7 separate regions of the Mus musculus genome follow, and all the other regions are reported to be linked to region 1. Evidence: microRNA targets listed by miRTarBase, many of them from high-throughput screens and not tested one by one. Region 1 holds a microRNA gene; each other region holds the end of a gene's coding sequence. Distances are from middle to middle.
What was found. The annotated mature microRNA mmu-miR-804 reads UGUGAGUUGUUCCUCACCUGGA and lies in region 1 at 2,459-2,480, shown strand. An mRNA with a match to its seed (bases 2 to 7 or 8) in the 3' UTR can be bound and repressed. Matches are read on the target gene's strand: a 7mer-m8 pairs with bases 2 to 8, a 7mer-A1 pairs with bases 2 to 7 and ends in A, and an 8mer does both.

Region 1 (4,652 bases):
TCCTGGAGTTTGAACATAGGGCCTTGTATAAATTAGACAAGTGCTCTAACACTGAGCTATGTCTCACTTTCCTGAGACACACTCACACACACACCATCTCACACATATATGCTATGTGTGGCCCCAATGCTTTTTTTTTTTTTTTTTTTTTTTTTAGTTTCTCTGTGTTGCTTTTGCTGGCCTGGAATTAGGTCTATAGAGGCTAGCTTCAAACTCCAGAGATCTGCCTGCCTCTGCTTCCCGAGTGCTTGGATTAAAGGCGTGCGCCACCCCTTCCTATACATTTTTTTTTTTTAATGCTGGGTCAAACAGAAGTCTTTATTCCACGTATGATAAAATCACAGTCTTCGCCAATAGAAAACAAAACAAAGAGTGTGGGAAAGCAGAACCTAAGGTTTGGAGAAAAATCCAAGCGCCCTCTCCCGCACTGCCCAAGCGTCTCACGCGCTTTAACTCCCCCTCCTACTTATCTCTGCCACACGCAGCTCCACCCAAGGAAAACCCGGATGCTCAAGGGAAGTGGACCACCCGGGCCACCAGGGCGGGGCGGGGCAAGGCGAGGCGCGTACTCGCGGCCCTGCTTTAGGTACAACTTTATTGCATCACCGCGACTCCAGAGCGCGCGGCTGGATTATAAGTACTCCCGCGCCCCTTTGCTTGGGCATCTTTCTCTTCCAGGAGCGCGCCGGGGCCGCAGGGTTGTTATCCGCGTCCACCTTCTTCTCCAGCAGTTGCATGCGCGCCGTAGTCTCTGTTAGCATGTCCATGAGCAGTTCTTGCTGCAGCTTCAGGTAGTTATTCTCTTCCAGCAGCACCTGGCTCTTAATCGGCTGCACTTGTGGCTTCCAGGCCGGGATGGTGGAGGAGGGCAGAGGCGTGCGCGCGCTTGCGCGCTTCCCCTCTGGGGTCCAGCGGCCGCCGCGGAAAACGAAGGCCTCGTCGCTCAGTCGGGTGCGCGGCTCGCCGTAGTTGAGCCCCAGTTCGGCCTGTCGCGTGCGGTGGTCCAGCAGATAGAAGGTGGACATGGATGAGATATGGCGCAGCGGTGGCCTCCGCGGCGAGAAGCGGCGCGAGAAGTGGTCGACCCAGAATTGCCTCACCTGTTTCCACAGGCGGCCCGCTTGGCTCGCCGCCAGGCACTCAAAGGCCTCCAGGGTGAAGGTGGTGTGGGCCACGCGGGGCGCGCGGGTGTCTGGAACCCTGATGTTCTGGAATGGTGAAGGCGAGCCAGTGGCACTGCTGGAAAGCAAATGGCCTGTGAGCGGCCTGCTCAGGCTAGACTCTGCAGTTGTAGGCTAGTAGGGGAGCCCATTCCTGCATAGTCACACCAGCCGTGTTCACCAAAATTACCTCCCCGGGACCCTTTATCTAGGATGTAGGTGTGTAAGAGATAATGTAGGGCTGGGCAGTGATGGCACATGCCTTTAATCCCAGCACTTGGGAGGCAGAAGCAGGTGGATTTCTGAGTTCGAGGCCAGCCTGGTCTACAAAGTGAGTTCCAGGACAGCTAGGGCTACACAGAGAAACCCTATCTCGAAAAACAAACAAAAAAAGAGATAATGTAAAGGCCCAGAAACCACGTTCTCTGAAATGCTGGAAGAGACCACAGGTAGGGGGCCACAAGTAGAGATCAGTAGCCAAGCAAGTAGGACAGGCCTTTTCTTGCTGACAGCTGTGAGGCAAAGGGCTGTCATGTTCCAGATGCATGAAAGAGCCGACAAATAGGATTGGTTCCGAGAATAGCAGAAACGTAGGCTAGAAAGGTGAGCCAGAGGGCATTTTTCGGTACAGTACAGGGAAATTGAACATTGTGGTTGTCATTCTTTAAGGGAGGCTGCTGATGGCTGCAAAGTCAGGGTTAGTGTGAACTCGGCAGAGCATCTGTCTGGTGAGATGTCTAGCACATTCTAGCACTGGCACCTGCTCCATGCCAGGTCTGGCCTGCACAGAGGATACCACAAGCACAGCCTTTGTCTATCCTCAAGATGTTCCTGGTCCAGCTGGAAAGGCGTGTATTAACATCCAGTGTAATCAATGACATCATAGGACAGACAGGTAGGTGCCTTAGCCTAGACCCATACTTAGCTTTCAAGTAACTAGAATGCTGCACACTAGAGTTAACTTTTGTTCCTAGCCAACTACTGATAGGAATCTAAAGCCCAGATAACTACCAGAACCCATCTTACTTGCTTCCTAACTCTTCTCACAACACCTATAAAGTGCTGATTCTACAGTGTGGTTTTTCAAATACCTCTCCTGCCATCGAGGGCAGGAGTGAAAACTGCTGTCGGGTTTCCTTTGCCACACCTTCATTAAACCCAACAGAATTGTGCAGGTGGGCAGAGACAGGTGTTCTCCCCCACCCCCTGATTTAACTCATGGAGCGAGTCTCTGGAAGTCCCTACACATCCATCTTTGAGGTTACAACTTCCCCAGTAGACTGTTTCCTGACATTCCTTGTGAGTTGTTCCTCACCTGGAAGATGTGGTGGCGGTGCCCAAGCTGCTGTCCCAGGCCTGGCCCCATTTCTGGGTTATGGCACCCACCTGTCTGCCAGCTGTGACTCACAATGCCTCCCTGCCAGGCCTCCTAGGGTAGAGGTGGTGTAGACAGTGAAGTGTGTTCAGTTACGGGAAGTTTCCGGAGCATTGACTGTGCTCCAGGCACTGTTCTGGGGGAGGGAAGACGTTCAATCATAAAATCGCACCCCTCATTTTGTTTAAATCTTTGTTTTGATTTAGGTCCTTTTGAGACAGGATAGCCCAGGTTACCCTGTAGCCCAGGCTAGTAAGAATCCTCCTGAGCCAGTCAGTGGCAGCAGGTGGGTTTCAAGAGTTCGAGGCCAGCCTGGTTCAAGGCTGCCAGGGCTACACAGAGAAACCCTATCTGGAAAAACAAAACAAAACAACAACAAAGGGATCTGCCTGCTTCCTGCCTTAGCCTTCCAGCCGGATTATAATCATATGTTTCTGGCTTCTATGTGGAAGGTGGGAGTATGGGTAGTGTGACCTCTGGCCAAAAGCTAACCTCCAGTATCTTCTTGATCACTCTTCACCTTACTTGTTTGTTTACTTATTATAAACATAAAGGCAGGGTATCTTTATGGAGTCCTGGCTATCCTGGAACTAGCTCTGTAGACCAGGCTGGCCTCAGACTCACAGAGATCCACTTGCTCTGCCTTAGAGTGCTGAGATCAAAAGTGCACCAACCTGCCTGGTCTTCCACCCTATTTTTTGAGTCAGAGTCTCACTGAACCTGGAGTTAGCAGAGTCAAAAGGCCAGCTGGCCAAAAAGCTGTAGGGATCTTCTACCCCCACCTTTGCCAGGGAAGTGTCTTCTTGGAGTTGTAGTGACATCAAAGGTGAGAGAGAGCTCCCAGAGATGCACTCTGTGAACAAGGTGGGAGTTGGGTACCACTCGACTTCTGGCCAGCTATGAAAGTCATGTGTTGTATTAATGAAGATAGGGCAGAGGGATCTTACTCATTCTGTCTCTCCCTTAAGTTCCAGACAGACATTGCTGTACCCTGCAGATTGTGTGTGTCAGTGTCCCGTGTCAGCACTGGGGTTAGAGATGCAGGCTGCCACACTCACTCAATCCCATGAGAACTGGGGTTCTGCACTCAGGGTCTCAGGCTTGTGCAGCAGGCCCCTCCCTCACTGAGCCATCTCAGGCCCCTTACTTGGGTTTTTGGAGACCTGATCTCACTTTGTTAGCCTAAGCTGGCTCAAATCTCCTAGGCCTAAGTGATCCTCCTCCCATCTTAGTCTCCTGAGCAGCTCCAGCCTATAGGCTGTGGCACACAGTACCTTAAGCCAACATTCTTGGCAATGGGGTGGATGGGAGGTGAGCATAAGGAATCTGGTATTGCTCTAGAACACATGTAGATTGCCCTCCAGGAATTTTAGTGCAACCTTAGTCCAGAGTGTAGCAATGGAAACTTTTGGGGGCAGATTGAGCCCAGGGCTTCCTGCATGATATTTGTATACTCTTCCAGTAACTTTTTAATTTTTTTCAAATCCTACTTTTAATGATTTTTTTAAAGATTAATTACTATACATAAGTACACTGTAACTGACTTCAGACACACCAGAAGAGAGTGTCAGATCCCATTACAGATGGTTGTGAGCCACCATGCGGTTGCTGGGAATTGAACTCAGGACCTTTGGAAGAGCAATCAGTGCTCTTACCCTCTGAGCCATCTCGCCGGCCCTTAATGGTGGTTCTTAAATGCTTTAACCTCCCTTGTAGCCCACCACCCACCAGAAGTAGTGGGAAAGAAAGGATTCGGGAGAAGTGGACTTGTTTAGAAAGGTTCTTTGGAGCCACTCCCATCTGGGTTGTCAGGAAATCAGCAGTTCAGTTCACTGGTCAGCAGCGGCAGCTCGATCCACTCACAAACACTTCACAATACACCAGCAGTCTAGTTTGGTGGAATGAGGATAGCAAACACGAATCGGGCATGACCTAGCAGAGACAGCCAGGCCTCAGCCTCTGCTTGAGTCAGCAGGAGGGACAAAGAGGAAAACCAGTTCTTGGCTATGCCTCTCTCAGGGAAGTGAAGATGAGGGCAGACTCAAGACCCACAAGCATTGCACAACTAGCTCTGTAAGCAACCTAGCTAAGCCTCTGTCACTGCTAAGTCTTACTTA
Region 2 (4,652 bases), 65 Mb from region 1:
TACCAGGACATGCCGAGCCATCTTACAGCAGGCCTCTATGACTTAAAAAAAAATTACATTTATTTTTTTACATTTATTTTACATGCCAAAGCTGTTGCGGAAGTCAGAGGACATAGAGTCATTTTTACATGTTGAGCCATTTTGTGGGTCGCTCTATGACTTTTTAAAAACCTGTCTTCTCATATATTGTATCTACGATCTACACAGATTAAGATAAGAGGTGGGGTCAGGGCACAGTGGTGCACTCCTTTAATCCCAGCATTTGGGAAGCAAAGGTCAGTGGATCTCTGAGTTCCAGGCCAGCCTGGTGTACACAGTGATACCCTGTCTGGGTTTTTTCATTTGTTTGATTGTTTGAGTGTGAGTGTTTTGCCTGCATGTATATATATGTGTACCATGTGTATGCCTGGTGCCTGCAGAAACCGGAAGAAGGCATTGGATCCCCTGAAACTAGAGTACAGATAATTGAGATCTGGGTGCTGGCAACCGAGCCCAGGTACTCTGCAAGAACAAAAAGTACTCTTTACTGCTGAGCCATCTCTTCAGTCCCGAAACCATGTCTAGAAGAAGAGGAAGAAGAGGAGGAGGAGGAGGAGGAGGAGGAGGAGGAGGAGGAGGAGGAGGAGGAGGAGGAAGAAGAAGAAGAAGAAGAAGAAGAAGAAGAAGAAGAAGAAGAAGAAGAAGAAGAAGAAGAAGAAAGGAGGAGGAGGAGGAAGAAGAGGAGAAGGAAGAGGGAGAGAGGGGGAGGAAGAAGCTGGGGGTGTGGTCCAGTGACAGTGTCTAACAAGTACAAAACCCTGGCTTCAATCCCTAGTACCAGAGAAACTGGACGTAGTGGCAAATTTCTATAATCCCAGCACTTGGGAAGTAAAGGCAGGAGGGTCAGAAGTTCAAGGCCACCCTCATCACTCACTGCATAGCAAGCTTCAGTCTAACTTAACGTCCATGAGATCCTGTCTCAAAATGACAAGCACTCCCCCCACACTGTTGATCATGAATGCTGTGTCTGATAGAGCTCCACCTTCCTGCCCCCATTGTTAGGTCACTTGCTTTTATTTGTAGTTGCTTTGGGGGGACTCTCCCCAAGCCAGAAAGTAAACTCTAGGGCGATCCAGACCCTTTGTGCTTTGTTGACCAGAGTGCTTGGCATAGCAGGCTCTTCATAGACACAGACTTTCCTGAGGGCTGATTGCAGGCTGTCTAATCATAGGTGAGTAGTCATGAGAACGCTGAGATTTCAGGGCACAAAGCAACCTCAAAGGACACACCCGTCATCCGCAGTGCTGCATGGCAAGGGGCAGGGGGCCCGTGAGACTCGGAGGCGAAACGATAGACCCAGGGTCACTTGGACTTCTAGAATACCGGTGCACTTTTTATTAAAGAAGAGAATAAAGCATTTGTAAATATATTTCTCTCATGTATACTTCAAAGGTGACGCTGATCGGCTGCTACAGAACTGGGGAAGTGAACAGGCCTGAATTCCTCCCCATCCCCAGATGACAGGGACACACAGAGGGTCTGGAGGTGCCCAGCCCCAAAGGACAAAAGGTTCCAAGTCGTGTGAACAGAAGGATCCAGCTGCCAACTGGCATCCCAGTGCCACCTGGAACAGCGTAGCCTCTCCAGGGATGTCAGACATGCTTGATAAGAAAGCCCCTTTACCCATTAGAAGGAGGTAAGGCATGACGGTTCCTCCTGGGCTCCCAGCACTGAGACCACAGTCACTGCCTCCTGCCGGATTGTATGGCTCCTTTGATTTCTAGAATCTTGAGAAGGGTGGCGGAAGGAACCAGAAGTCCTGAAGGACTGCTGAGGGCAAGCTGGAGCCCTGGGCATGTCTTAAGTGATGCTTGACTTTCTGAAGTTTTAGACTAAAATACTGAACCCTTGACCCAGGTGGGGCCTCAAAAGTCATCCCCATAGAGGCGGGAGGTAAAGAAGAGGCATTCTGTAGAAAGGTGGAAGAGGAGACAGTTCTTCCTCAACTTAAGAACACAACGCAACATGAGGGCCCGGCAGTGGTAGATCACACCTTTAATCCCAGCACTTGGGAGGCAGAGGCAGGAGGATCTGAGTTGGAGACCAGCCTGGTCCACAGAGTGAGTTCCAGGCCAGCCAGGGCTACACAGAGAATCCCTGTCTCAAAAAAACAAAACAAAACAAAGCAAAACAAAAAAACAGATCAAAGCCCAACCAAACAAAACAAGTAAGGGTCCTACAGTCCCTGGTGAAGGACAGGCATGAACACTTGGACCTGGGTTGGTGACACTCCTACAGGACATTCTGAAGGCTGCAGATGTGAACTGTCCCTGGGTGGCCTGAGGAAGAGAGGACTGGATGAGACATCATGGTCCCTGAGATGGGGGCAGGCGCAGAGAAAGGAATGAAAGCAAAGGTGGTTTGCAGGCTTGGGGAGGGAGGAAGGGGTGAAACTCCCTACCATCCCGGCCCCTGGAAGGCTTCATGCCTAGAGGATAACTCCAGGAATGGAACTTGGCTCTGAGAGGAAAGGGACACTACCCGTGTATGGCTGTTGTGGGGTTCTCTCTTCCTCTATTCAGACTGGCTATAGATCTGTGGTGAGCAGAAGCCCTTTGCCAGGGCTGGAGGGGATACACTCGAGCCTGGCTAAACTTCCTGCTCTGCAAGGTGGGGGCTATCTGTGGCCTGCTCAGACCTCTGGGAGTGGTACAGCTGGTGCGAAGGGAATGACAGTCATAACTGGCAAGAAGCAGTGAGTGGTCTGGGAGACTCCAGACACCAGCAATGGCTGGCTCTGAGGTCCCCTTTCAAGTGTTTCCAGTTGTGACAAGGCTTCAGGAGGCCTTGCATTGCAAATCTCTCAGAAAAAAAAAAAAAAAAAACCAAAAAACAAAAACAACTTTGGAGGGCAAAGCTAGAAAGGCTTGCAGAAGACTGGCAGCAATCTGAGGGTGAAGCCTGGGGTCCAGAAGCTGAGGGCTGGGGGAGCTGAAAAGCCCCCAGGGACAGTGGTGGAGTGGCAGTGGCGGGGTGGGGAGTGTGTTTGGCTTTTAAACTGAGCTGTGCCTTTGAGCTGAAGCAAAGTGGCCAAGGGAGGCAGAACAGGTGAGCCGAGCCACCAGCAGGGAATATGCAGTGTCCCCAGCCACCTGCTATGATATATTGCTGCATAAAGGGCTTTCTCACTTGCCAGGAGGCTGCCAGCCAGGCATGAGGGACCCCTCTGGTCGGGAGGCGGAGGGAGGCGACAGGCCTAGAGAGGGGTCACTTGCTGCTGTGTGTCTTGACTTTGGTGGCGTTGATGTCGGCCTTGGTCTTCTGGATCCTGGCAAAGATCTCTTTGAAGAGTGCCTTGTACTCCGGCTGGCTCTGCTCCAGCCGCTTATCCACAGCCTCCACGTGCTGGCTTAGGCTCTTCTCACCCGCCTTGCCCTCTCCCGGGCTCTCTTCGCCCCCCAGTAGGTCCCTCCAGGAGCTGTCCCGGGAGATGGGCCGTGAGGTCTGCACCCCCGCGTGCCGCACTCCGGCACCGTGCTGCCGGCACTTGCTCAGTAGCTCCTCGTATTTCTCCAGCAGCGCGTGGTACTGCTCATCCACCTCCCGCAGGATAGACATACCGCGCCTGCGCACACTGTTGGCATGCAACGTGAGGTTGCCAGCATGGCGGCTGGCTGGGTCTTTGGCCACTATGGCATTGAGCGCCGTGTCACTGCAGCTCTTGCGCACTGCGTGGCTGGGGGAAGCGGCAGGCGAGGAGACACCATCCTGGGCATTAGAGTCATCTCCACTGCCTGGCTGGGGGTCATCGGCCTCAGGGGCCTGAGTGAGGGGCGCCAGCAGAGCCTCAGCCAGGTGCTCCTCCCGGGCCAGCAGGTAGGTCTTGGCCTGCTTCATCTGCTGCAGCTCCAGCAACTCGGCCTCCAGCTCCTGCACGCGCAGGCGGCAGCCCTCCATCTCACACAGCTGTCGCTCCAGCTCCGTGTACTCCTGGAGCACCACCGTGTACTCACGTTCCGCTCGTTCCTTGCGCTGTCGCTCCTGGCTCACCTGGGAACGGAGCACCCCAACCAAGGTCTGCAGCCGTTCGTTTTCCTGTTCCAGCGGCCGAGGACCCAGCTCCAAAGAGGAACTGTGTAGGCGGAAGGCATCCTCACATCTGCTGGGGGCGGGGGGAGGGGGGGGAGGCAGGCAGCAGTAGGTGGTCAAACACTGGCCTCTCTCAGTCACCCTCCACCCCTCTAACTATCCCTCCACAGTGTGTCTGAGTACGATGACCTATACAGATTGATCCAGGATTTTTCCGCACTGGGAGACACAGTGAAGCGTCGGACAAGCAGGTTTTTCACTGAGCTACATCGCCAGCCTCACCTTGCTCTTTATCTCTTTCTCCTAACTAGGATGGGGATCCATTTAGGCATAGCACACATTCTGAGCGCGTGCCTGTATAAATACAGTGCTTAACTCCTCCGAGGTCAGAAGGTTTTTCTCATCTGACTAGTAGGGAAAATGGATGCAAATGGCTTGTGTTAGTAACACCAATGGCTGTCCTTAGCAAGCATCCTGAGGGCTTGGACCAAACGGTCCTCCTTCCCAGCCACTGTCCACCATGCATCTCCTCCTTCATCCCTCAGCCAGCTCTCTCGGGACTCTAAGATGACACACCAGGGCCC
Region 3 (4,652 bases), not on the chromosome of region 1:
TTCTCTTAACCTCAGCCTGAACTTTGAGAAAGGGGAAACAATGGAAAGGACCCTAAACTGCCTATCTATTGCTTGGAACTTAGTTTCCTAATAATTCCAAAATTTGCTGTCAAGGCAGCTCAGTCCCTAGAAGAGCCTGCCTCATCCTTAAATCGGTGCTCACATCTTTTTCTCCCCCCCCCCCCCCGCTTTTCTTTTTATTCAAGACAGGGTTTCTGTGAGCTCTCATCCTGGAACTTGCTCTATAGATCAGGCTAGACTTAAACCTAAGAGATCCACCTGCCTGCCTCCCTAGAGCTGGTGTTTAAGGCGTGCACCACCAAACCCAGCACCCCTATTTCTTAATAGGAAATTAAGGCTGGGATAGGTACAGTAAGTAGCTGAGTTACAATCTGAACCCAGGCCAGTTGGGTTTGGGCCCATGTACTTACACCAGAACTTTACCTTACCGCCTCATCTTTCAAGTAGAAGAAAAAACCCTCACTGATTTAACTGAAAACTACCCTTTGAACCATACCATGTTCCTGTGGTGCCAGGATTGAAAACCTGGCCTCACACATGCCAGGAAAGCAGTCAACCACTGAGCTGCAACCCTTGGCTCATAAATACCAACCTACCAGTGTTCATGTTTAAGCACACGGATCTGTATGCCTCAGCAGGTAAAGGTGCTTGTCACACACATCGGATGACCTGAGTTTTCCCAAGAGCCCATGTAAACATGCAAGGAGAGAACAGACTCTATGCAGTTGCCTCCTAAGCTCCACCCATGTGGCATGCTATTTAAGACCAACACATACACACCCACGCACAATATGAAAGATTTACATCTAAAACCATAACATACTTAATAGAAGTGAAAAACTTACATCTAAAACCACAAAGTTACCCTGTGAAGTGTGCATCTTCTGCCACTTCCACCTCAACAGTCTGAGAAAACTCATCTTTTGCATTTCTGAAATTCCTTGTTTTTGTTGTTTCTTTGGGATGGGGTAGATGGCTCCGCATCTAAAAGCACTGGCTTCTCTTCCTGGGGACCCAGGTTCAATTCTCAGCACCCATAGAGTTCACAAACACCTGCAAATCAAAGATCTAACACCTTCATACAGACATACATGCAGGCAAAACACCAAGATGCATAAGATAAAAATAAAAAATAGTTTAAAAATAAGAGAATTGGGCTGGGCGGTGGTGGCGCATGCCTTTAATCCCAGCACTCGGGAGGCAGAGGCAGGGAGATTTCTGAGTTCGAGGCCAGCCTGGTCTACAGAGTGAGTTCCAGGACAGCCGGGGCTATACGAAAACCCTGTCTCGAAACACACACACACACACACACACACACACACACACACCCGCAAAAAAAGAGAATTGGCCTTATTCTGGTACTTGTAAATGTTCCTCTAAAATAGTATTTTCACTAACACATTTTTATGTAGATTGTTTTTGAAACAGGACCAATCTCTTATAGCCCAGGTTGTAGCCTTGAACACTTTGAAACTGAGGACAACCTTGAACTCCTGATCCTCCTGCTTCCATCTCCTAAATATGGGAGTTACAGGGATGCTAACTTCCATGTCTGGCCTGTAATCTTCACTGTACGTATGACTTCTATGGTGGCTAAGGTGACAGTGTGTATGATTCCCAACAGCTTGTCATTAACAGTTGCTTAGAATTTTGCCAGAAATCCTCCACACCTCATGCATTTCAGTAGAATCCTCTCCCACGTGCAGTCTGGGTCAGACAATATGTGATGGTAGATGCAGCAGAGCTCAGGTGCTAACATAACAGGCCATTGCAGCCCATTTGGGCCCGTACCAATCCTGTCACTGCGTGACACGAATATATGTCTAAGGACAAATAATATTTAAGCTGAAAGACCAACCAGGGGATGTGAAATGTCTATCTATACCTTGGGCAAGGGACCAGACCAGGAATCACCAGGACGCCCAAGCATGCCAAGGCAAAAAAAAAAGTGAAAATCAAGTTGCTGTCTGGGGAAGCAATGAAAGCAGAGCAAGCAGCAGGGCTGAGTCCTCAGAGCACTGCTTCAAATCCTACTTATCTGAGACACTCATGGGAAGGTGAGGAAAAGAGGGGAAAGTGTGTCCTAAGACCATCTTGGCCATACTTGCAGGGCTACAGTAACTTAGCCCCAGCAGCTCAGGCCAGTGTCTCGTAGAATTAAAGGTTAGGATCCAGTTCAGATTCAGAAACCAACCAATCCTTAATTCCTGGATATTTTCCTGGGCATTTTTCCTCGTGCTGTGGCACACCGAGCACTGCCCACTTCCCTGCAAGCCAAGCTTGTCTCCCTTAACACTGTGCCTGCCAGCCAGGGCCTACCAAGAAAGAGGTATCATATCGGCATCTTCCACTCAACTAAGCACTCCTGCAGGCCCGCATGTCCATGCATCCTCAAGGCCTCAAGTAGGATGAAATGTTCTTACCAAGCCTGCCCTTCCAGACAAGCACACTCTGTTCCAAGTTTGCAGACCAATCAAAAAGAAATGGCTATGGCCATTCGTCAGGAGCAAGCACATTTCCAGGAGGGAGTAAGAAGCAAACACTTCAGCCAGGCGTGGTGGCCCACACTTTTAATCCCAGTACTCAGAAGGCAGAGGCAGGCGGATTTCTGAGTTCGAGGCCAGCCTGGTCTACAAAGTGAGTTCCAGGCAGCCAGGGCTACACAGAGAAACCCTGTCTCAAAAAACTAAAAAAAAAAAAAAAAAAAAGCAAACACCTCAAGCAACAGCCATTTCAGCACAGGACGCCATCTACGAGAAAGGCCTGTGTATGTACTTCCTGTTCTCTCAAGCCTTCCTCCTACAGTAACTTTACTGTTGGTGACTGCAGTGTTTTCAGCACTAGCTTCCCATTTATAAATGTACTTTACATAACAAATACTTAAATATTTCACTGACTTTTCCTTAATTTTATAAATTATAGATTTCTAAAATCATAATTTTCGGCATTTTGGTAATACGAGGTGTTGGGTGTCTTCTTTTAACAATGTTGTCACTAATACCTCCTACTGTGCTGAAGCTTGCTCAGGTACTCATAGCTCCTTAACTGATAAACCCTGACGTCTGGTTCCTTCCCCAGACACCACTGAGGCCCACTTGCTATAAATAAAGCCCTGGAGACATTCTACATTGGAGTCTACTTGGGTTTTCACTGACAGCCACTCACTCACTGAGCTCAGCTTCATCAAATTTGTTTGCAGATTAGGAAACTGAGGCAGACAACTCAATGAATGATCCAGTTCTCACATTAGGTGCTGCTGAAGAAAGCTGAAAGAGTCAACCTTGTATTCACACAGCACTACTATCATACTGGGTCCACTGACCTTAGCAGCCAGGGACTCAATTGCTTTATTACCTCTGTACATACAAAGAAGCTTGGCAGTGAGTGGCCCGGGAGCCAATATACAGACCCATCTACATTCCAGGGCCTGTTCCTGCTCCAGACTCATCTTGTTGAGAAGGCATGACAGGGGATAGACACCCAGAGCAGAGAGTCCTCAGACACTCAAACACAGTATGAGGCCAACAGACCAAAGTACATTTCCAGGGGCTGCAGATGTGCTGCAGACTGCAGTCTGAGGTGGAGAGGCAGGGCAAAAGGAGGTTTGGAGCACTGACTGGGAGATAGGGTGGTGGCAGCATTTCAGGCTTGAGGGTTGATGGGCAATGGGCTCACTTGAGGCGATAGAGCACCTTGCGCTGCATACGGTGTTGGATCTCACCCCTGCGTAGCATGAGCTGCAGCACCTTTCGGATAGCGTGCTCTGGATATTTCTGTAGGAGGGAGCACAAGACAGATGCACAGGTATATCATTATGACCCAAGGGACCTGATGCATCACCGGATCATAGACAATTTTAAACAGACAAAAAATATCCACCTCCATTCTCCCTTGACTTCAGAAAAGTGTGTATGTGATGATGCCTCTTGTGTACTAGGTAAGTACATATATCGACTTTATGCACCTAGTATTAGGAATAATCTCATTTTACAGAGGAAGAAATAGGCACAGGCTGTCACTTGTTTGGGTCATATAGCAATTAAGTGAGCTAGGACTTAAGTCCCTGTGACCCTAGAAGTCAAGCTTTCTCCAGCCCCAGCCTCAGGCAAGACTAGTCTCTTCACTTATAGAGGGCCAGTATCTGTTACTGTATAATTTACTTCCAGGAGCAAACGGAGAGGATACACAGGGAAGGGAACGAGAAACAGAAACCAGGGCTATCCTCATGATTTTAAAGGGCACAGGCTCCTACTGGTACCCCAAACAGTACCTCCTGTGCATGTTATCAGTAGCCCTCTTCCCAATGGGCTGCAAGGCTAACTCATCTGTTTCTGGTCCTCCCTACCATGTAAGGATCTAAACAAGGGAAAACCTAAGAGATGGGAAAATTGGGTATTGGTTTCTACAGACCTGTCTTCCTCCTTTCCCTATAAATAGCCAACCCCAACTGTAGACTGTAGCAGTTCCTACAAAAGGAACAGTGGCTCAAACATCCCCATCCCAGCACCCCTCTGCTGAGCACAGAACACTGTATGTGATGGCTGAGTGGGAACCAGACTAAGAGAACCAGCAGGACATCCTCTGTATCCTGGGCCTGGCTTGTAGACCCAGGGTTAGAAAGGCTCACTCAC
Region 4 (4,652 bases), not on the chromosome of region 1:
CTTCTCCTAAGAAACCTTTTGGGGGTCGAGTGAGCAAGCAAATGAGCGAGCGAGCACACAGAGCGTGCACAGGCACGCCTTGCTGAAAGGCCTTGGGTGAGAGCACTCCTTCTCTATAGCCTCTGGACCAAGCATGTCAGGGGCATGCTCAAAAGCTCTTCAGCATGGGCTGTGGCCTCAGGAACTCCAGTTTCCATGGTGACAAAGCACTCAGGTTATTATTTATCCTCCATCTCCTCACTGCCCTACCTCCACACAGCTTTCAGCACTGGCTGCCTAGTAAAGCCAGCTTTTTGACAGGGAGTCTGACATCAGGCTACCAGGACTAAGGTCACTCAAAACCTTCATCTTAGGAAGCCAGATTCTCTGCAAACTCTGGGACAGTCCTGCTGGTTTAGATCTGGACCCTCACTTCAGTCTGAAGACTTTAGAGTGTAGGAGAGCAGGGATGATGCTGTCTCCAGAGGAAAGGATGTCACAGAAAAGAGACCTCAGCACACAACCTGCCAGTCAGCATCCTGTGCTGCCTCATCCCCCAGGGTGTTTCCTCATCACTCCTGACTGACTCTGGGAGGACCTTCAGAGTATAGCACATGCTGTGTGGAGGGACCACTGTGGGTTCCCTCAGGCCCCATCAGCTGTGCTTCTAGAATGTTCCAGCACTTGGTTCTAACCAATACTGTCTCCCACCTGTGCCCTACACAGTGCATGTGACATGGGGAATGGGGGGACAGGGCGGGGGCGGGTTCAAACCTGATCACTGGTCTCAGTGAGAAAATCCACTTCTGTGGAACGTCAGAGAAAGGGCCCACAGCCTCTATTCATTTACCTAGTGCAGATACAGATCAGATAGGATCTGTCTCTTCATAGTTGGCAACAATAACCACCAGATGACACTTTGACACAACATCAAAGCCTATGACGATTAACCCAGAAAGAAAAGAAAGGTTCTGTCACAAAGACTACGCCAACATGGAAAATAAATATAATAAAAACCCTTAAGACACAGGTCAGCTAGGCAGTGACTACACTCACGCCTTTAATCCCAGCCCTGGGGAGGCAGAGGCAGGAAAACTCTGAGTTCGAGGCCAGCCTGGTCTACAGAGTGAGTTCCAGGACAGCCAGGACCACAGAGAAACCCTGTCTCAAACAAACATTAGTTAAAAACATTAGTTAAATACTGGCTCAAAACAGCAACTGTACGCCTTGTCAGAAGGACGGCAGCAACCTTCTGTGACGACGATGGAGCTTCTGTCTGCGTTTCCAAGAAGATACCACAGGTTACAAAGCCACATGTTACAAGACTCAAAAGGTTATGCTTTTCCTCAAGTCTATTCTGCACTGGATCACAGCTTCTACAAGAAAAAATGACCTAAAATACCCTTACAGCAAGTAATGACTATCCAATAAATAAATGAAATCCACATTCCCAAATGCACGTGGTAACTCACTGCCCAAGAGGCCAGCCACAGAGAGCAAGCGCATGGGGCACCTCTCTCTCACCCAGACCATCCCTGGGCATCGCTTCCCTCTACCCACACTAGGCTCCTCAGTCCCGCGCTCTCTCTTTCTTGCTCACAGAGTGTGTAACTCCTGGCTGCATCAAGGCACTGCTTGGCTTGCATCCCTGCATAGTGCTACATTCCAGCATGGTGGGGTACACTGAAAGCAGGCTCCATGCTGAGGAGAACATCTCTGATTTGCTAACACAAAGGAGGTTTCTGTTTGACCTCACTATATACCTGGCATAAGAAATATATTTCAAAAAGAAAAGAACCTTTTTCTTAGTAACAACATCACCAGAAAGAGTCAGAAACCTAGACAAATGAATTTGCTAATAAAGATCCTTAAGGATGACCTAAAACTGCTTTAGAGAATGGAACTTAAAATCCACTATAGATCACACACCTCCATGCTCCCAAACTATCCAGCTAGAAGGGAAAACATCACATTTCCTTCAGCACTGCTGTTACAGCAATGAAACAGTGTAGGATGGAAGAGAGGGCCGACAGATAGACAACATCAGCCTTCATCTCAACAATAACACAAGTTCAACTGTCTATCATCAGTGTGGAACCGTATTTTGCTGGGTATCTGGTTCCCCACAGTAGGGTGAGCATGGTTTCACAGTTAGTTCCACAGAGCCAGGCCCATACCTCAGCATCCGCAACTGCCACCTGCGGCTCAGGAGACAGTGGCTCTCCACGCTCCACCACTTCCTGTACCCATCCAGACAAGGAGATGGGCAGGAAGCAACTGTTCTAGACTACGGGGACACATAACAACTGCTCCCTCTGGGGACCCTGCAGAGACTGCCACTCGTGCCTTTCCTGATGCCAACCTGCTCTCAGGAGACAGGTGAGCAGCACATTTGATCCCTAGGAATGAGTGACAGCATCCTACCCAAGCCAACCAGCCCCTCGGCCTGCTTCTGTTTTCACCACATGCACACTGCAGCAAGCTCCTCTAAGTAGCAGATCATGACATTTCCAAAGTGACAGTAACCAGGCACAGAGTGTATCAGTGGCACCAGCCATGTTCTAGGTGAGAGGATGATAATGAAAGAAGCAAGGTAACAACCACACAGCCATCTCACATCACAAAGGTAACAACCACACAGCCATCTCACATCACCAAGGTAACAACCACACAGCCATCTCACATCACCAAGGTAACAAACACACAGCCATCTCACATCACCAAGGTAACAACCACACAGCCATCTCACATCACCAAGGTAACAACCACACAGCCATCTCACATCACCAAGGTAACAACCACACAGCCATCTCACATCATAAGGGGAAGACAGGGGTATGGGGTGCAGCTTAATAACTGAGATGTGTTAAATACACTGTACTGACCTCTTTCTCATTGCCAGGTCAAGTCCTCTATATTAGACACAAGAAATAATAGATTGTCTAGGAAAGCTGTAAGTTCTTTGAACACAAAGATAAAGAGATTACTCAAGCTTAAAATAAAAAGGGGTCAAAAGCATTTAACTTGTAATTCGCTTAATTATCAAAATAATGGCTTCTAAAACAAGCAGTTACTGACACAGAGGAAAGCCTCAAATACCAGTTGGAAATAATAATACTCCACTAAGACCTACAGTACTTTTAAAAATATTACTAACAATTAACACAAAATATCCTGTTTGAAGAAACCAACCGACCTAAGCACACTGAGTAGGTGTGGCTGGCCCTGCCTACCTGCTGCACTGTGTAAGCTGGGGCAGGCACTAGTGGCTTCTGACATTAAAAACAAACACGGAGCACAGCACTTCCACAGACGCACAGCTTCAGAGACATCCAGTGAGGGGGTTAGAGGTATCAGTCGGGTCAGGGTATGAGTTGGCTTTCACAAGTCAAAATGCAGCAAGCAGCTGCAGGTCCAAGCTTCACTGAGAAGAGAAATAACACTTGTCCCACTGAAGAGAAACTTCACTGTAGAGGACAGAAGTAATAAAGAGAGCCTTCAAAAGAATCCTAGGTTAAAAGAGAAACAAGACAATTAGACATGCTTTAAAACTTTCTTTTTTTTAATACCCACCAAAAGCCACAAAATCTACACTTAGTGTTCTCTCCAAATTTACGATGAAATAATTTGAGAGTGTGACTCTACCAAGTAAACATTGTCTGCGCCGCTTGTCTAACCCAGTTTGTTATGTCTTCTTACTGACTGTAACAGTCACCACTTAGTAGGGCGTGTGTGGTGATGGCTATTGCCCCAGGCCCTTGTGTCCATTTTCTCATTTGTCCTCACAGCTTCCCACCGCAGGGGTAGTACGCTGTCGTTTCACAGATGTGGAATCTGCAGCCCACAGAAACTCACCTGCCCCATCAGCTACTGCACACACACACACACACACACACACACACACACACACACTACAATAGAGAACTGACCCACGTCTAATGAGTACGGAGGTCCTGCTATTAGCAGCACTACCCTTTACTAAAACCAAAAACAGCAAGCTGCTGACACTACTGAGACAAGAGAAAGCAAAAGGGTTGTAGGTGGGTGATGTGCAAGGGTGTGTGTTGGCGGATGGGTGGGTGTGCAAAGCTGTGTGTTGGCGGCACTAGGAACTGAACCCAGGGCACTGCATGTGGTAGGCAAGCACTGCACCACTGATGTGATTGTCCCCTAGATTGTTTCTGTTGACACGAGTTCAACAGAAACTTATTCTGGCTGGCTGGGTTAGCCAGACAAGGCTTCAGAGAGGAGAGGTTCACCTAGACTTTAAAGAATTAGGAAAGCTGGGCGTGGTGGTGCACGCCTTTAATCCCAGCACTCAGGAGGCAGAGGCAGGTGGATTTCTGAGTTCGAGGCCAACCTGGTCTACAGAGTGAGTTCCAGGACAGCCAGAGCTACACAGAGAAACCCTGTCTCAAAAAACAAAAAACAAAAAAACAAACAAACAAACAAAAAAAAAAACAAAAAAGAAAGAAAAAAGAATTAGGAAGATTTGATTGCTGAAAATAATGCCCCTTGATGAAGGGGTGCTCCATCAATGTGTTCCCATCTGGGGTGAGTTTGCCCCTGAATCCTCAAGGGATGCTGGTACATCTGGAGGAACTCTCAGTTGTTACAACTGAGGGAAGGATGCTAGTGGCATCTGCTGGGTCACAGCTGCTAGACACCATACA
Region 5 (4,652 bases), not on the chromosome of region 1:
CCAGGGCTACTCAGAGAAACCCTGTCTCGATAAACCATGCCCCCCCAAAAAAAATTCATTCAAAAATAATCTTTGGAAATGAGCTGGTCTCATCTATTTATGGGTTTTTCATTCTTGTTTCAGGTAGCCTTCATGGCTGTGCCACATCATTTGCAGGAGACTTCCTATCTGCTGCCTCCAGATCCAGAGGATTGGGAGAAACAAGGCATCCCGGACTTTGTCTATGGCCAGGAGGATCTCGTTGGCAAGGAAGTTCAGTGGCCCAGGGATTCACCTAGTGCCGTGGACACAGTACCACTATCCCGTTTCGACTCTGCCCTCCGCTCTGCGTGGAGGCAGCGGCTGGAACTGGGCCTGTTTCGGTACCGCCTAGAAGATCTGCAGACCCAAATCCTCCCCGGTTCCGTGGGGTTTGTAGCTCAGCTGAATATAGAGCGAGGGATACAGAGGAGGCGCCCCCAGAATATCAGAAGTGTGAGGCAGGAGTTTGACCCGGAACAGTTTAACTTCAATAAAATTCGACCTGGAGAAGTCCTTTTCCGGATGCAAAGGGAACCTAAAGGCCCAGCCACTCCAAAGCAAGAGGACGACGTCCTTGTGGTGATCAATGTCAGCCCCCTGGAGTGGGGTCATGTGCTGCTGGTGCCTGCACCTGCTCAGGGGCTTCCCCAACGGCTGCTGCCTGGAGTGCTGCGGGTGGGGCTAGAAGCTGTCCTACTGAGCTTGCACCCAGGCTTCAGGGTCGGCTTCAACAGCCTGGGAGGCCTGGCCTCTGTGAACCATCTTCACCTGCATTGCTACTACCTGGCCCACCCACTGCCTGTGGAGGGAGCGCCAAGCACACCCCTAGACCCCAAAGGTTGTATACATCTGCTGCAGGCCCTGCCGGCTCCTGGCTTTCTCTTTTACACCAGTGGGCCAGGGCCGGATTTGGAAGTGTTAATTAGCAGGGTATGCCGAGCTACTGACTACCTGAGTGACCGTGAGATTGCACATAACTTATTTGTGACCCGGGGAGCTCCCCCCGGGCCGACATCATCTACCTCAGATCTCAGTGGGATCCGAGTCATTCTGTGGGCCCGGAAGTCCAGCTTTGGAATAAAGGAAAGTGGGGCGTTTAATGTTGCCCTCTGTGAGCTGGCTGGCCACCTCCCTGTCAAAACATCACAGGACTTCAGCAGCTTGACAGAGGCAGCTGCAGTGGCCCTCATTCAGGATTGTCTGCTGCCTGAAACTCAGGCAGGTGAGGTACGGGCAGCGCTGGTAGCCCTGATGGCTCAGGAAGAGCTGTGATTCTTCAGGAGTGTTTTCTTTGCTGACTAATTCGAGGCCCTTTCCCAAAGGCCAATGTGAATTCAGTCCATTTGTGCATTTCATGTCATGACCTTCTTCCCACCTCCCCACATAAGGACTGCAGAGAGAGCACTGAGAGAATGTGTTCTCATGAATGTTTCTGCTGCCTCTTCCCTGAGAAGCCCCAGGGTAACAAGCCCTGCCATGAAGGGCCAGATCTGACCATTTCAGGGGGAGGAGTGCTTGCTGCTAAGTCTGTTGATCAGGGTTCAACCTCCAGAACCCATAGGGTAAAGGCTGTCTTCTGACTTTAAAATGTGCACCATGATACATTCACTCACACACACACACACACACACACACACACACACACACACGTAAATATATCTCAAAACAAAATTTTTTAAAAAGTAAATATAAAAATAGTTTTTTTGTTGTTGTTTTCCTTTTTTGTTTGTTTTTCGAGACAGGGTTTCTCTGTGTAGTCCTGGCTGTCCTGGAACTCACTCTGTAGACCAGGCTGACCTCGAACTCAGGAATCTGCCTGCCTCTGCCTCCCGAGTGCTGGGATTAAAGGCGTGCGCCACCACTGCCTGGCTTCTTTTGTTTTTCAAGACAGGATTTCTCTGCCTGTACTAGAACTCTGTAGACCAGGTCCGCCTGCCTCTGCCTCCTGAGTGCTGGGATTAAAGGCCTGCACCACCACCACCCTGCTAAGAAAAAAAAACAAATTTTAAAATGGAGAGTGGGAGAATTTCACAGTCCTGGTTTGTCAGTGTTCTGAGACTTGTAGGTCAATCTAAGAAAGAGGGTCACTCCAGGGTGAAATATGGCCTTACAGGGAGATCCAGGCTCTGTGGACTCAATATCAAATGGCCACCCAAAAGCATATATTGATTGTTACACAAAAGTTGTGGGTTTTTTGGTTAAAAAAAATTCCTCACACCGAATCTAGTCTTATGTGTTTCCTGAAGGAAGACATCACTGCCCACAGCTTCAGTTCTTATTGTATACTGTTTGCAGTACCCAACAGTGCACATTCCCAGTGTGCCAGGACTGTCCAGTGACCAGGACTTTGCAAAGGTTGTAAAACTCCTTCAGAAAAACAGTTCTATAGATAGTAGAAAACAGTCACTCTTTTCTTAATGATTTCTTCAAGGTCAAAACACTTCTAGCAAACAACCATTCTGATGGCGACCCTAGAGTGCTTCTACTAGATGTCTTGCTACACAGGTTGCTCTCTGGACTTCGCCTTTGGTGTGAACCATCAGCCTCTGCTCTGATGGCTTACAGATACATCCAGCTACCTTGTCTTACCTTTGCTCTTGTCCCTTGGTGCGCCACTGACTCTTACAGGGTCTCACTGTGTAGCCCTGGCTGTCCTGAAACTCACCCTGTACACCAAACTGATCTTGAACTCAGAGATTCAGCCTGTCTCTGCCTCCTGAATGTGAGCCACTAAGCTCTGTAGCCCAAGCTACCATCAAACTCCTCAAATCAAAGAACCCTGTTTTAGTTTCCTGAATCTCTGGGACTCCAGCTTTGCCTATGGCTGGTTCATTGGCTGACTTTGCCCTCCCCCCTTGTATTTGCAACTGCTTCATCCAGGTGGTCAACTTCTCTAAAAAAAATTTTAAAAAAACCAAACTATCCTTTCTTCAAGCCCCCAATAACAGTTGACTAGTGAGTTCAAAGCCAGTCTGGGCTATATACTGAGACTACCTCAAAAATTCTTTTAAAAATGCTGGTCATAGACCACAGAGATAGCTCAGGAGGTATCAACACTGTGTGCCCTCAACACAGTGACAGGCGTTTAATCCCTAGGATCCACTCAGTTCAAGGAGAACCAACTCCTGCAAATGGGTCTGTCACTTCCCGCACATGCACCAAGGAAATGTAGCAAGTGTTCTGCTTGTTATGAGAGACAAGGTCTCACTATGTAGCTTTGACTGGCCTCCAACCCACAGAGATCCAACTGCCTCTGGCTCCTACATGCTAAGATTAAAGGCATGGGCTACCACAGCTGGCTAATATTCTTAAAGAAGTGTTGGTCCTTTTATTGCTTCCATTCAACAGAGGAAGAAATGGTTGTTGACCCAGTCACTTGCTTAGGTCAGGCAGCTAACGGCAGAGTGGAGGTTGCAGCACACGCAATGAGATGCCAGACCTGGTACAGTGTATACTGGAGTCTCTCCAGTCAGCCTTTCCTACCGTGGTGATGCTGCCTTTAACAGTTGGTGGCCCTCAGGGATCTTTCCACAACCAAGTCTCTGTAAATCCTGGAAGTTTTAAAAAGTCTCATTGTTGATTACAGATATCCTAGCATTTGGGAGGCTGGGATGGAAGACTGCTACAAAATCAAGGCCAGCTTTAGTCACAAGCCTTACCCCCTTTAAAAAAGACAAACAAACGGATGGGGAGATGGCTCATCAGTTAAGATTGATTGGCTGAGCCAGGCTCAGGAAGGAGGTATCTGTGACTTGGAGGCTATCCAGGGCTACTTGAGCAGACTCTGTTTACAAACCAAACCAAAACCAAGCCAGGCTAGGTGGCATATCGTCTTTAATCCATCACTCAGGAGGCATAGGCAGTCGGAACTCTATGAAAGTTTGAAGCCAACCTGTTTGCATGGTGAGTCCCAGGCCAGCCAGAGCTACGCAGAGAAATATCCCCTTCTCAAAACAAAAAAACAAAAACACCCACAAATATTATGACCCACGTCTTTGAGATTCCAACCGAGACTGAAGAACTGCAGCTCTCTAAGAATCCTTCAGGCCAGATAGAGACATCCAGCCTTGTAGACTGAACGGCTGCTGGATTCTTGGCCTTTCCAGTGTGAGACAGCCTCTACAGCTGTGTTCCTTTAGAGAGCCCTGACTACCATACTTGCACAAGATCAAGCCAAGCCAACCAACGTTCCGACAGAGACAGGGAACGTCTTAAAGACATGGTTACTGTTTATGAGATCTACTTATTTTTTTGTTTGGTGGATTGGTTGGTTTTTGTGAGAGAGGATTTGTTTACATATCCCTGGCTGTTCTGGAATTTTCTTTGTAAACCAGGGTAGCCTCAGACTCACAGATGTCTGCCTTCCTCTCCCTCTGAGTGCCAAAACACTCAACTTTGCCCCCCCCCCCCAGGAATTCTCATTCACTCCTAGAACTCACGATGGAGCTCAAGTTGACCTTCAACTTCTGAATTTCATGCCACCTCCATATGCTAGGGTCACAGGAGTCTAACACAGGAGTCTGTACCTGTCTTATGGGGTGATGGAGGTCAGACCCAGGGCTTTGTTTGCCTTTGGTCATCATCACCCTGTCCAATTCATCCACAACCCAACCCCATATCTTTTTTAAAAA
Region 6 (3,000 bases), not on the chromosome of region 1:
CCAGGCCACACCTGTATGTAACCCTAGTGCTGAGAAAGCAGAGAATAGAGGCGTCTTGGTGCTTACCAGCTGGACTAATTAGCCTAATAGGTGAGGTCTAGGTTCAGCAAAAGACCCCGACTCAAAAAACTACAATGGAGCATGGTGTGGTGGCCCCTCCTTTACTCTCAGGATTAGGAGACAGAGGCAGGAAGATCTCAAAGCTTGAGGCCAGCCTGGTTTACAGAGCAAGTTCCCAACATCCAAGGCCACTCCCTAAGGAGTGAGACCCATACCTTTAATTCCAACACTCCAGGAGGCAGGGGCAGGTGAGTTCCCTGGCCACACAGATTTAAAGATAGGATTCCAGGACAATCAAGGCTACACAAAGAAAGCTATTCTTGAAAACCACAAACAGACAAAAACATAAAAGTACAGAGATTGAAGCAGACATCAGTTAACCTCTGGACTCTCCTTGCAAGTCTGTGTGTGTGTGTGTGTGTGTGTGTGTGTGTGTGTGTGTGTGTATGGGTGCACATGCACAGAATATTGGCAAATGGATAAGAGAATCCAGCACAGATCTGTTAAATGTGTTAACTTCTTTGGGCTATCGCAACAAAATAACCCAGACAGTTTAAACAACAGAAATGAGTCCCTGTAATTAGAGTTAGAAGTCCAAAATGGAATTGTCACTGCTTTAGTGTCTGGGTCTACTCTGGTCATCACATGATCTTCCCCAGGTTCACACCTTTGTTTACATTTTCTTTAGGAGTGCATGTTCACAGGTATAGTGATGAAATGACTTAATTTTATATTCATTGCATCCCTTTTTCCTCTGAGACTTGTGCTTGTATCTGCTGAGCCACCACTCTAGCCCCTTTTGAAAGGCTCTGGGGCTGGAGAGATGGCTCAGAGGTTAAGAGCTGAGGTCACGAGTTCAATTCCCAGCAACCACAGAGTGGTTCACAACCATCTGTTAATGGGATCTGATGCCCTCCCTCGTCTGGGGTCTCTGAAGAGAGCGACAAAAACCAAAAACAGCCTTTGTCAGAGAGAGGGGGGGGGAGGAAGGAAAAAAAGAGGCCGGTTCTATCTGTGAAGTGGAATCATGGCCTGGTGATTAAGAGCATCGGGTTGCTCTTCCAAGGACCCAAGTTTGATTCCCAACACCCACATGGAAGCTAACAATAGTTGCGGAGGGATCTGATGCTCTCTTCTGGCCTCTGCAGGCACCAGACACACACGTGGTGCACATACAGACATACAGATAGATACAGGCAAAACCACCCTTACACATAAATAAAAACAGCAAAGCTTTATCTGAAAATATGCTACTCATAGCCTGTGGTCCTGAGTTTGGGGGCTCAAGTATAGGCTAATAAATACAAATTCTGGTAGAAACATAGAATTTTGTCCAGAAGTTACTAAAAAGTTTTAAGTTTTATGCATGAACCTATTCATAAATCTGCTAATGATGATCAATCTGCTTAAACGGTATTGACTTTTTTTAAATCAAGTTCACACCAGAAAAAAAAAAGTATGACAAATTTCTGTGAGAAAACCGGAGTTCCTGGGGTGGGGCCCAGGTAACAGGAAGCATAGTAACAGCTTAGCAACCTTGAGCAGAAATGATTGCCCCAAAGTCATGTTTCAGCATCCTGAGCATGTTAGAGCTGCAAATTAATGTATCCTCTCACGGGGAATCACTGGAGAAGGGGCCCAGGACATTGTTTTGAGGCCCTTCCAAAGTGAATTCTCCTGTCCAACCCCATTCCTGGTACAAGGATTCTCCAGAATTCTGGCTGGCCTTAAATTCAAGAGATCCACCTGCCTCTGCCTCAGGTGCTGGGATCAAAGGCATTGCACCACCACTGCCCAGCTCCCAAGTGAATTCTTGCACACTATAAATCAATGGTTCCCAATCTTTCTAATGCTTAGGCCCTTTAATACATTTCGCGTTGTGTTGATTTCCAATCGTACATTTCTTTGCTACTTCATAACTCGACCACTCTTCTGAATTGTAATGTAAATATCTGATATACAGGATTATATTCTGATCCCAGGTTGAGACTACTGCCTTAACTGGAGTAGGTTAAAAAGTACAAAAGGGTAGCCAGAAATGGTGGAGCACACCTTTATCACAGAACTTGGGAGGCAGAAGCAGGTAGATCGGAGTTCAAGGCCAGCCTGGTCTAAATAGGAGACTCCAGGACGGTCGGGGCGACATAGATATTCTGTCTCAATAAGGAAGGACAAAGGGATCAAGAGCTGACATTTTAATGATGCCCTTTTCCCAAACTACTGGGTAACTTAAAATAATTTGCTTGGGCCAGGCATGGTGGTGCATGTCTTTAATCCCAGCACTCGGGAGGCAGAGGCAGGCGGATTTCTGAGTTCGAGGCCAGTCTGGTCTACAAAGTGAGTTCACGGGCAGCCAGGGCTGCACAGAGAAACCCTGTCTCGAAAAAACAAAACAAAACAAACAAAAAAAAAAAACTTGCTTGACACAGGAGTTAGGGCCCACTTTTAAGTCAACTGTGCCATTCTTGAGGGCCAGACTGAAGTGTTGTTAGAAACCGTAGGAATACAACCTACATACTCCCCGAACCATCAACTGAATACTCAAGTGTTTATAAATTTTACTGTATGTGATCAAACCAACAGCATACCAAAAAAAATTTTTTATATTGGAATAGTTCTACAAATTGCTATTTGCAAAGAAAAATAAACAGGAGGTGCTCGTGAAGGCGGGTAAGAAAATACGTGTAGTGATTTAAGACTCCATCTGTGTTTCTCTTCCCTCCAGCGGAAGCGGAAAGCCAGCCAGTTTTAGCCCTTTCTTACTTAACTTGCTTAGGATTGAGGAGGCACGAATTTTCAAGAACTCTTCAACTTCTTTCACCTTCACAGCTGGAAAAGGATCAACACCAACAGTCAGGCGGGAGGGGCGCAGAGTTTTAAAGAGAAGGGCTTCTGGACCTGGAATCTGGGAAGACTGGTGCCTATGGCTGAGCAGGGGGG
Region 7 (4,652 bases), not on the chromosome of region 1:
AGTCTCACACACACATACACACACAGCTTGTGTCTTTACTAGTTTAAGAGCAGAGTTACAGCCAGGTGGTGGCGGTGCACGCCTTTAATCCCAGCACTTGGGAGGCAGAGGCAGAGGCAGGTGGATTTCTGAGTTCAAGGTCAGGTTGGTCTACAGAGTGAGTTCCAGGACAGTCAGGGCTACACAGAGAAACCCTGTCTCGAAAAAACAAACAAAACAAAACAACAACAACAAAGAGCAGGGTTACTGTTGTATATACATTTGGGGCCAATCTGATGAGAATACCCTCCAGCCCAAGGAATTGATACAATTTCTTAAAACAAAAACCAAACCAAAAATGAGCAGATGAGGCGAAGGATATGGCTCAGTCAGTGGAATGCTTGCCTGGCAGACACAAGACCCCACATAAGACAGAGTGCCAAGGTGCAGACCTAGAACGGCAGTAGTTAGGAGGTAGAGACAGGAGGATCAAGATCTGATCAAGGTCCCCAGTTACATGTTTGAAGCTGGTCTGGGATATATGAGCCCCAGTCTCAAAAACAAAAACCAGATGCTAAAAAATGCCTTTCCTCCTGCTGTGAACATGCCAGAACCCAGAATGCACTATGGTGCTGTTCAAATACTCCCAAATGGCCTTTATTTCACCAAACTGTTTCTACTAAAATTATTTTATGTCACTTTCACTGTGATGCTAATTCTTTCAAAAATAACTGGCAAATTCATAAATAATCCTTTGTACGTTACTCTCCTGCCTCAAGGCTGCCCAGGATAACAGCATAAGCAGCTTACACTGGCCTGGGGAATTCCCACTGCTTGTGTTAACCTCGGCTTATCCTCACACTGGGTACACATACCACGGGGCTCCTGCAACAGTCTGCTGACCTGGGCAGAAGTGTTACTGACAGTCCAGTCTTTGAAGCCCGCCTCCACAAACAGCATCTACTTCCCCTGAGAAGGACATGTAAAGAGACTTTTAGGAAATGAAAAACAGGATGCCTCATGTCCATCTGTGAGTGATTCCTGGTTCTTATTCCTTTAAGAAATTACAAGCACAGTGACTTCCTGTGGTTTTACTGTCTTGACTGCTGTTGGTCAGAACTCACTGGTTTCTCTGGGCTAGGTCAAGGTATCCCCATGTCTAAGTTCTTTTGTGGGTACTCTGGTGGAAAGAGATGCTGCATGGCTTCTGTACGTTGCCTGTGATCTTGGCTTGTGGCCTTTTCCTTCCCAAGTGTCTTCCACACTAAATCTTCTGCTACGTATCAGTTAGGGAACTGTGAAGAAAAGAACCTGCTCAGGTTATCAAGGATCTGATTTCAAATCTATCTGATAGCCAGTGGTGGCTGGAAGCCAGGCAGCAGTGATGTATACCTTTAATCCTAGCACTCCAGGAGGCAGACAGGTGAATCGCTGTGACTTTTAAGGCTAGCATGGTATGGTCTTCAGGGCTACACAAAGAAACCCTGTCTCAAAAAAACAACAACAACAATAATAATAGCAGCATGTGATTAGTGACTTTAATTTCCCTTCTGCTGGGTATGTGTGTGTCCTGCCTACCATAACCCAAGTAGTACTAAGAGCAGGGACACCTGTGTCTGAGAGAGCCTTTTCACAGGTTAGTCTGGTTGTACATGTAGCCTCAGGGCAGGGCCTCATGGGCCCAAGCAGATATAGCACAGAAATCAGCTCAAGCACAAGTGTTAAGAATCATGAGATTTTGGTGACTGTTGGACAAGGATATTGCTTAAGTGCCACCAAGCTGGTAAGAAATGCCTGAGAGAATCAGTCAAGTTCAAGGTTGTGTTAGATCACTGACCCTACCTCCAGTGCCTTGGAGATAGACTACAGACTTCAATTCTTAGAGAAAGGTGGGCTAGTGGAGCACCTAAGTCAACGCTGAGGTACCAAGCTACAAAATCAAGTCTTTCAGCACTGAGGTATGTGTAACAGCTAAGAAAAAGATCTGGCTCTCACACTTTGATGACAGCTTCCAAGGCATATGTGACATAAGATAGAAAACCATCTACCACCCGTAAGATTGCCATGTGCAAGTTTTTGATGAGCTGAGACACTTAGGCTGGAATGTGACTTGTGGGGAACACAAGCTATTGGAGTTATGCAGATGGTTCCCAGAGTTCACCAAGGCCGAGGGAGATTTGTCTGGAAGTTGACTCAAATGCAGAATTCTGCCATTGACGTGACTGGAAGTGGTCTTTTCTGAATCTTGAGGCTGAATTGATGAGAAGCCAAGTTCATTCCAGGAAAGTGGTGTAAACAGGTCTTTGCCATACATATGGCCTATGCCCACAGGACAGGAACAAGGTAGGGGGCACAGCAACACCTCTGCTGCCCATTTGGCAGTACTGCACACCTCACCCTCTCCCTGGCTGGCCTGAGGGGCATCTCCTTACCAAGGGGGCTGATACAGGAAAAACTACAAAGCTGAATGACGCCATCACAGGTTCCCTGAGGGACTGCCGGAAGTTTCTTTAGTTGTAGAGAGGGTTTTCTCCCATCTCTGGAATGCTGGGAATTGTCTCTCATCTTCTTAGCAGCATGAAGGCATCAACACTGATGACGGTGCTGGAAGGATGAATGAATGTCCTGGCTGAGTGCAGCATCAAACACCTCCATCCCCACCCAGTGTTTCTGCCTGTGAGAAATCAGGCCAAAACAGGAAAGTAACCTTCTCTGAACCTTGATACCAGACTGCCAATAGCTGGTGGGAGAGAAAATCATGTCACATGGGTCTCTGTATCAGGAGCTCCATGAAGATTGCTGTGATTTGGGAGGGAGGGGTGGGAGGGTATGGTGCCTGCAGCAAAGTATCTTTTTCTCCACCCCTTATATGTTTGATTTCATCACACAAGTGTCCAAGGTCTTCTGTCTAGTGAACACAAACACAAAACATGCTGCTGAGAATCTGTCATGGGTCCATACGCAGGATTACCTACTGTCCAAAATGCCTTGAGATCCAGCCAATACAGCAGCATCAAATCCAAGCACAGCAGTCAGATGGAAGGAGGACGGCTGGAAAGAAGCCAGCTCAGAGGTACTGGCCACGTCTGCCTGCTGCACCACACCTGCCTCCTGATAAGGGAGAAGGAAAACAAACTTGCAAGTCATGGCATATCACTTGCTTTCTGCACTGATAATTGAGTGACTCTGGGTGATGTACTCTTGATGGCACTTAACGGAAGGTGACCCTAGGCCGTTTAATTACTTTATTTATCCCTGAACTTGATAGAGATGAGAACAGCACCCATTCCATAATTAGTGTAACAATGCAAGGAAAATAGTCAGGACCCTCCACGTGCCAACAACTGCTAGCTACTATTAAAATACTGTCACCCGGAGGTGGAATGTTTAACATAGAAAATAGGAGGCTTTAGCAATTCCTATTGGTCCTCAATAACTGCAGGTGACTATTTCAAGCCAACTTGACGGATGCAACTGATCAAGAAATGCAGTTTGAAGAACAAGACAATAATATTTAATCTTGCAACTTGATAGACTTGGAGGCATTCCGGTCAATGTAGAAGACCTTTCGGGCCTCAGAGTTAAAGCCCAGGCCAGCCCCGTGGCTGTACTTCCAGCTCATGGCCCGGTCATAGTCCTGCTGCAGACTCTGCTGGAGCATTTCTGAAGACTTTTTGTCCAGGGCCATGTTGGACCTGATAGTCATGCTGGGAGGGCGGCTGAATGACGGGGACAGATGCTTAAAGCCACCCATAAGCTTCAGGAATTTTAGCTTCTGTTCTTCATTTTCAAAGCCGGCAGTATCCCACTGGCCAAACTGGGTTCCCTGTGTGGAAAGTAAAAGGCTGTCATTGCCCTTGAAGACCAAAGCTTCCCTCACTCTCAGCCACGCAATGAACTGTCTCATTCAATATGGCTACTCATTCCCACATTACAGGTGAGGAAATGAGGCCTAGAGCTTAATGGGGGTGATAATATTCAGATGATTCCCAACTCGGGAATGACCAGCCTGAGAGCCCATCATTGGCTTCTAACAAATATCACTGCACACCAAGCTAATCTGTGCTCTACCTTCTCCCAACACATGGTGATAGCAAGAACACTTCAAGATCTCTATTGATTTTTCTGCTGCATGTGCTTGGCTGGCCACGAGCTTCCAGCGATCCTCCTATATAGCCTGTGTTGTATACTGATCCTCTGACTTTAAGCAGTTCATTCTGAGAGGGGAGCTTATTAAGACCGAGGAAGTAAACAACTCACTAAGTCTTAGGCAATCCTGAAACTTGGCAGGTTCATAAGGCCCCTCCCTCCTCAAGGCTACATAAGCAGTAAGGACTGCATGTCTATTGAACTGCCTGCAAGTCATATAGAATGCTCCAGTGCTCTAGCCTTCATGAGATGTCCTTCATGCTAGGGTAGACTTGGTAATGCAGCTGCCTTTCAGCTATCACGCTCTTCTAAGTAACCCATACAGGATCCTGCAACCTCAATTAAGCTGTTTATCAGGCTTTGGTGGTATCATTGCTTTGGTCTGACATTGGCTCCCTATGTGGAATGAGGATATGTTTTGTACCTCCATATATCAGTGTCACGCAACAGACTATCACTTCATAGGCGTTCTGAGATCACAGACACTTGTGCTATGTGTCTGGCTTTCACGTGGCTTCTGGGAA

Region 2: miRTarBase lists Cdr2l as a target of mmu-miR-804. Seed matches in the 3' UTR shown: 7mer-m8 at 2,100-2,106.
Region 3: miRTarBase lists Mcm5 as a target of mmu-miR-804. Seed matches in the 3' UTR shown: 7mer-m8 at 2,659-2,665.
Region 4: miRTarBase lists Arhgap19 as a target of mmu-miR-804. Seed matches in the 3' UTR shown: 7mer-m8 at 1,106-1,112.
Region 5: the mRNA of Gdpgp1 is a reported target of mmu-miR-804. Seed matches in the 3' UTR shown: 7mer-A1 at 1,629-1,635, 7mer-m8 at 1,794-1,800 and 7mer-m8 at 2,680-2,686.
Region 6: the mRNA of Ooep is a reported target of mmu-miR-804. Seed matches in the 3' UTR shown: 7mer-m8 at 2,398-2,404.
Region 7: the mRNA of Knop1 is a reported target of mmu-miR-804. Seed matches in the 3' UTR shown: 7mer-A1 at 1,009-1,015 and 7mer-m8 at 158-164.

Annotation. Positions count from the first base shown.
Region 1 is chr11:50,355,627-50,360,278 of GRCm38, reverse strand. Mir804 (microRNA 804) reads left to right here and starts at 2,400; the gene lies at 2,400-2,494. Cby3 (chibby family member 3) reads right to left here and starts at 2,518. Exons shown (of 2, transcript NM_029691.1): 1 at 2,476-2,518; 2 at 577-1,239. The coding sequence starts at 1,025. The coding sequence ends at 603.
Region 2 is chr11:115,392,832-115,397,483 of GRCm38, reverse strand. It overlaps Cdr2l (cerebellar degeneration-related protein 2-like), which reads right to left. Exons shown (of 5, transcript NM_001080929.1): 5 at 1,352-4,138. The coding sequence ends at 3,247. Gm32013 (a long non-coding RNA gene) reads left to right here. Exons shown (of 3, transcript XR_880312.3): 3 at 1-45. Among named protein-coding and RNA genes, the nearest start is that of Gm32013, 6.1 kb to the left of the region's middle.
Region 3 is chr8:75,126,365-75,131,016 of GRCm38, reverse strand. It overlaps Mcm5 (minichromosome maintenance complex component 5), which reads right to left. Exons shown (of 17, transcript NM_008566.3): 17 at 2,578-3,794. The coding sequence ends at 3,693. Among named protein-coding and RNA genes, the nearest start is that of Mcm5, 19 kb to the right of the region's middle.
Region 4 is chr19:41,766,709-41,771,360 of GRCm38, forward strand. It overlaps Arhgap19 (Rho GTPase activating protein 19), which reads right to left. Exons shown (of 12, transcript NM_027667.3): 12 at 1-3,488. The coding sequence ends at 3,478. Among named protein-coding and RNA genes, the nearest start is that of Gm19424, 22 kb to the left of the region's middle.
Region 5 is chr7:80,238,091-80,242,742 of GRCm38, forward strand. It overlaps Gdpgp1 (GDP-D-glucose phosphorylase 1), which reads left to right. Exons shown (of 2, transcript NM_178752.3): 2 at 124-3,330. The coding sequence starts at 133. The coding sequence ends at 1,293. Among named protein-coding and RNA genes, the nearest start is that of Ttll13, 6.0 kb to the right of the region's middle.
Region 6 is chr9:78,374,803-78,377,802 of GRCm38, forward strand. It overlaps Ooep (oocyte expressed protein), which reads right to left. Exons shown (of 3, transcript NM_026480.3): 3 at 2,101-2,889. The coding sequence ends at 2,753. Among named protein-coding and RNA genes, the nearest start is that of Ooep, 2.3 kb to the right of the region's middle. RefSeq lists cis regulatory regions at 1-1,677, 1-1,677 and an enhancer at 1-608.
Region 7 is chr7:118,842,290-118,846,941 of GRCm38, forward strand. Knop1 (lysine rich nucleolar protein 1) reads right to left here. Exons shown (of 5, transcript NM_023197.3): 5 at 1-3,805. The coding sequence ends at 3,494. Among named protein-coding and RNA genes, the nearest start is that of Iqck, 11 kb to the right of the region's middle.